Linked DNA regions of Yarrowia lipolytica. The protein of the gene in region 1 interacts with the protein of each later gene in a pairwise test. Links are inferred from orthologs where the notes say so. Each region holds a gene or a part of one and is shown in the gene's direction. Other genes may lie near its edges.

Evidence for each region.
Region 2: the proteins of YALI1_E31034g (region 1) and YALI1_E25541g interact in binary tests that used the Saccharomyces cerevisiae proteins (3 or more experiments, as listed by UniProt). The link is inferred for Yarrowia lipolytica from reciprocal best matches to the Saccharomyces cerevisiae genes LTO1 and YAE1.

What each region holds. Positions count from the first base shown.
Region 1 is NC_090774.1:3,101,641-3,104,597, forward strand, and holds YALI1_E31034g (uncharacterized protein), read left to right. Parts: upstream 1-1,832; coding exon 1,833-1,903; intron 1,904-1,968; coding exon 1,969-2,371; downstream 2,372-2,957. Other genes in the region: YALI1_E31031g (uncharacterized protein), read right to left, coding at 342-1,442. UniProt on the Saccharomyces cerevisiae protein: Essential for life in oxygen, but nonessential under anaerobic conditions. Required for biogenesis of the large ribosomal subunit and initiation of translation in oxygen.
Region 2 is NC_090774.1:2,552,207-2,555,222, forward strand, and holds YALI1_E25541g (uncharacterized protein), read left to right. Parts: upstream 1-1,951; coding exon 1,952-2,317; downstream 2,318-3,016. Other genes in the region: YALI1_E25537g (uncharacterized protein), read right to left, coding at 1,069-1,566; YALI1_E25549g (uncharacterized protein), read left to right, coding at 2,724-3,016. UniProt on the Saccharomyces cerevisiae protein: The complex LTO1:YAE1 functions as a target specific adapter that recruits apo-RLI1 to the cytosolic iron-sulfur protein assembly (CIA) complex machinery.

The sequences.
Region 1 (2,957 bases):
TACTTGTAGTATGAGTACGCACAGCACAAATAGACAATCGATATGATTTCTGTTAAAAGTTGCATGATATCCTTCACAAACAATACGGAGTACAAGTACATACTGTACGCGTATTTTACACATCTGATGAGCTATAAGCTTGATCTCAAGGATACAAGTAGACAAGAACAACAATGATGGTATATCCAGCAAGGTAAGTTATCTTGCCAGGTCATGACCCTTTGAATGATACTACTGCTATGGAGTCCCGATGCTGAGATATGTTATGGACTGGAGCTCTGGTGTCACCTACGCACGTCCACACGCTGCTTGGTCAATAAATATATTATACATTCCCACCTCTAGTCATACTTTCCATGGTTCATCCAGGTTCTTTCTCCGACCTTTCTTACCTGCACAGCGTCCGTAAAGTACCCTTCTGACCATCCTTTCATCATGGAGCTAGTGAAGGGACCGTGGACCTCTTCTCCCTCTGCCCATCGAAACACCCATTCTTCCTGCTCGTCTTCAATCTCATCCACTTTTCGTTTCAGATCTTTGACCGACTGGCCCGTCAACAAACAGTACTCCTTTTGGACCTCTTCTCGAGTCATGTCATAGATGTTGGACATGTCTCTAGACAGCAAAGCGTCACAGTACTCGGTCAGCTGTTCGATTTGCTGTACCATAGCCTTTTTCTCGTCACCATTGAGCTTTTTGCGCTCCTTTCCTAGTCGCGCAAGAGCCGCTAAGGACGATTCTCCACTCTGAAGCACTTCCGACAGTTGTTGCAACAGCTCAACCTTTGAAATAATCGGTTTAGCAGCAGCGGATTCCTTCCTGGACTGTTGCGCACGCTTGGCAGCAGCAATATCCTTCTTGCTGACTCCATCCAGCCACAAGTCTTGGTGCTCCTTTTCGTCCTGAGCGTTTTTGACAAAATTGCCTTCCTGATCGAACTTGCCCTCCTCCAAGTCTTGCTTGAGATTGAACGATTCCATCTTGGGTGTGTATTTCTTTGCCCTGCTCAGATCCACATCCAGTCCGTCCATGTCGTCCTTTGTGTAGTAGTCAATATCCACTTCCGAGTCGGACTCCTCTTCTTCTAGAGGGGCCACAGTGGTGTGTGTACCGACATCGCCCTCAAACTTTTCCATATCCATGAACTGCGGTTTCTCGTCATCAAACTCCTCCTCCTCGGGCCTGTCGCCGTTATCCTTCTCTTTGTTCTCTTCGTCTTCGTCCTCACTGAACATGTCGCTGTCACTGTCGTTGTTTCCATGTCCATTTGCTCCCTTCACAGGCGCATCCTCATCGGAAGAGTCGTCATCGATGCCTCGAAGCCCCTTTTTCTGCGCCCGGACTCGTCCCCCAATATCCTCCTCCAGCAATTCATCGAGTTCGGTCGTTTCCTCAACCTCAGGCGCCAGCTGGAGCGGGTTATTGGTGTTAAAAGTAGACATGGTGATGAAGAAATCACAGCATGCATGTCGAATGTTTGTGCATAGTATAAAGGAGTATATAAGTCTACTAAATGTCCAATAACAAATCCAACTAGACTTAGTGATTGAAAATTAATGTATTATATTATTATACCTACAGGTTAACACAATCTCTGTGAAATACAGTACTTGTAGAACCTGCCAACAATTTGGACCACCTTTTTTCGAACACACATATCTCCTTAATCAAAGTTTTTTACTTGTAGTGGCAGTTCTCTTGCTCTGGCTAAGCAGTCGCATCCTACGTGCGATACGATACATGCAGCTCTTCATCTGCAGGTTAAATTCAATTATAAAGCATCAAATTTATTGTACTCACCATCTATCACACTCTCCGCCGCGGCTACAGAAATGCCAGCTATCCCTACAGAAATGAAGCAGCACGACGACATCTTCGAGGACTTGTTCCAGCTTGAAGAAAAGTGAGTCAGAGGTAACTGAAGGTGCTCAGACACCACCATCGGAAAACTTATCATGCTAACCACAGATTCTACGAAGAAGGATACAATGATGGACTACAGGCTGGTACAAAGGCTGGGTTTGCTGAAGGACGTGAGTTTGGAGTACAGACGGGATATCAGCGGTTTCTGGATCTCGGTTTGCTCCAGGGACGAGTCATAGTGTGGGAGGAACAGGTGGCTGATCTACCTGAAAGCAAACAGCAAAAGACAGTCGAGCGACTGCAACAGATCAAGCAGCTGATCCACCAGGAGGAGCCCACATATTTTTTATCCAACGATAGTGTGGTCGTTCATCAATACGAAACTATGATGAAGAAGGCCAAGGCCAAGGTGAGAACTTTGGCAGCCAGCATCGGTAGCGAAAAGGTGGTGTTTGAGGATCTGCTCAAGGGTTACACTGAAGAGGAGAATATCGAGGATAACTTCTAGAACGATATCTAGACGTATGGGAGTGGCGTGAGGAAGAAAACCTCAGCTAACCAGAGAAGGGAGATTACCAATTCAGCACCCAACCCTGACGGTTGCATCTCAGACAATGATAATGACACAGGTATGCAGATCGATCGCCTCAGGTTGTCTCATCTCGTTCTAAGGAGGTTAATGCAGTTCAAATAAGGGTGCTCTAGAGTCTTGCCACTCGATCTGCCTCAATTACCTGCTGAGTCGCTCAGACGAGCGAAGCTGCAATGAATATACGAAATTGATGAGTTATGAGTTATGACACATTATATTTAGAGCTGTATGTTGAATTCTAAGCAAATGCGAAGAGTCCCTTGACGGTAGACTTTCTCATGTGATCAATACTGAGTCCTTGTAGATAGGAAAAGTTCAAGCCTAAGCAATCTTTTGACTTCCTAAAGGACTTTAGAAGACACACATGGCGGTGTGTTGACCTACACCAGCACCCAGTAATCAGCATGTACTGTAGAACTGTAGCTACAGTATTTGTATGACAACTGCTTTTATTACCACCTACAACTGCAGTCATTTTTACCCCTAAACTGAAGAAGTGAAC
Region 2 (3,016 bases), about 550 kb from region 1:
TTTTTATGCGAAAAAAAAGCGAATCATTAGAATAAAATAAAAGCAATCATTAGAATAAAAAAAAAGCAAAGATTCAGAAGTGTATGATTTATTGAATGCCAATAACCCGGCTTACTACTAGTAGGTATATAGCTGTAATGAATCATTAGAATAAAAAAATGCGCTTAATTATCGAAACAAAAGGTGGTTGTCTAGGGGTGTGGTGAGTCCAAGAGGTATAAAAGTTGAAGATGCGATTTAAAATACAAGGAATATACGTCATTTACAACCTTTATCCACCCCCGTGCTTTCAGTGCTGTAATTTAAGCCGCTGTAAAAACACGTTGTTTGCAAGGTTGTGTTTTGTTGTTTTTTTAAAAAAAATAAAAATAAAAATAAAAATAAAGGAACGATATGGACCACTCTTAGACATACAGTTGACTCTGGTTGTTTTTTTTTTTAAATAACTCACAAATGTATAGATCTATAATGTAGATGTCACGGCAATTGTTGTGAATGCTCAAAACTCGACATTCCGAGGGTCCTTGAGGGCGTGCTTGATGTACTTTGTGTGTCGTCCTCGAGCAAACAGAGATAGATCCGAGGCGTTGTAGAAGTCAACGGAGGTGTAGGCCAGGGATCGGCCCATGTTATCCAACAAACAGTCCATGATGATCTTGTTGCCAATCTTGCCTCCGGAGCCAATGTAGGAGACGTTGATGTCGGTAGACACGCCGGTAGCGAAAGCTCCGGAAGAAGCGACGGCCATGGAGCCTCCGAGATCAACCAGAGACGCAATTGTGCCTCCGTGAAGGATTTGAAGCCGGTTGGTGTGCTCCTTGGCGACGGTGAGGCCGAGTCGGACCTTTCCGCGTTCAGCAGAGTCGATGGAAAGCTGTGTTAATGGCGGACAGAGGGGGTGGCGTGGAATTTGGCGGTTACCTGAGGGCCATTGAAGTACTGGCTGCAAATTCGGTGTGACTTCGGTATTATTGATATGGCTGGTACGCAACTGAAGTCATATTCCGTCTGTATTTTAAAGATAGCTCGAACATCTCATGTAGAGATTCGATGATCACAAACTTGGAACTAGGGAATGTGTCTGTAGACTATCTCTGAGTTACAATCAACCATAGCCCAGGGCCTCTTCCCCGAAAACTCACCGAACGTACCAGTACCATCTCTCACTCTCCCATACTCACCTGAGACAACAGCGTGGGCTCTAGGCCACTGAGCTGGAGGAAATCTCCCCATACCTGCGTTAGTAACGTGTAACAGGCCAATTGGGGCCTTTTGGGGTTCTATACTCACGGCTCGGACGTGTTTGAGAACCTGGGCGTGCGACATGTTGATGTGGGGAAGATGAGCATGCATGCATGAAGTGCAAGGGAGATTGGGTGCAGTGGAGCTACTGTACCTGTAGGTTGGAAGAGGTTGCTTGGTATATTTTATGGACGACATGTTAGAAGTGGCGGGGAGATGGAGTATGTTCTGGAATAATAGAGTCGAGACGATATGATAAAAGATTTCAGGCTTCTTGAGTGATGATATTTGAGCAAGATAGGTCCTTAATGTTGTTTCGTTCATTGTAGCAACCGATCAGTGGATAAGTCTAGTTGGGAGAGGTACAGTAGGGTGTTAAGAAAGCGTCACCGAAAGTGCGGTCCCACAAGTACCTACAACAGCAAAATCGAGAGCTGCTTTAGACTAGAATGAGAGACCTAGCTTGTGAGGTTGAAGTGGCCCACTGGTGAGATTGATGGATAAAAAAACCCATCCTATCGCCCTAGCAAACCTCCACTGTTACCTACATTCCTAACTACACTTTACTTACACTTTACTTAAAACTCTGGTCCTTAAAAGACCAGCCAAAAATTCCAAATAAACTCAACATGCATGCTGATTTGTAAGGGAGCCTGCACATAAAAATGGCATTGAACTGACATCTTTCTCTAAACAGAGCAACAACGACATGTCCGACATCTGGGATGACGAGGAAGTGAGAGAAACGCCCAGCGAGATCACACGAGTGAAGCGCGACCACTCACAGGCAGGCTACCTTGCTGGAGTCACAAAGGCCAAAGACGAAAGTCTGCAGGAGGGCTTCAACGCAGGATACCCCATTGGAGGCCAGCTGGGGCTCTCTATCGGGCGTATTTTCGGCTATTTGCAGGGAAAGGGTCTTGTTGAGGAGGAGAAGCAGGCCCGCAAAGAACTCAGCAGCACGAGGATCTTCGACAGACAGTATTGGACCACTGATGCTGCTCCTACATATGAGGGAGTGCATCCTCTGGTGAAGCAATGGGAGAACAAGATTGACGTCATGAAGCGGGAATAGAGGAGGTAGATGTTGCTGAGTATGCTTTGTGGAGTCTGGATGGTGTACAGTTACCAGTACTCTTACCTCAGTTAACTGAGAACGAGATCACGTCTTGGAACAGAGGACCCCACTACTGTCCACCCACGAGTACGGTGCGACTATTTAATGATTAATGATTGTATTTTAGAGATGCACTTCAAGTATATGATAATTTAGTAGAAGATCTGTATCAAAATCTCAAGCTCTGAGCTTTCTACCAGCCCCCTATCATTTTCGCCCCATATTCAGCTCTACTTAATTTTCTCAGTAAACTCAACTAAACATACTCGACGCCCCACGTCCAGCAAAGTTCAGACATGCATGAAATTTCAGCGTCTGAAGTTATCACCAAAACGAGCATTTTCTCCTGTCCAGCAAAACTGCCATGAGTAAACTGGAGGTGCTACAGCCCCACAGTGTCGGCAAGCGGATCGCTTCGATAGCCGTGAGTGGGACGTTGGCCCAGCAGCAGCGGCGGATAGAGGAGGGCACACAGCGTACACGGAACCAACTGCGCACGCGACAAAAAGATTTTTCACGACCAACGGCTAAAGACACGTACTTCGCGGGCGTGTCCAAGGAAACCCGTTTTATCGACACATACACGGCCCGGCTGCGGCAGTCGCATCTCACCTTACTATTTGAGTGTCCTGTGGACTGGCAGCTGGTCAACGAAGG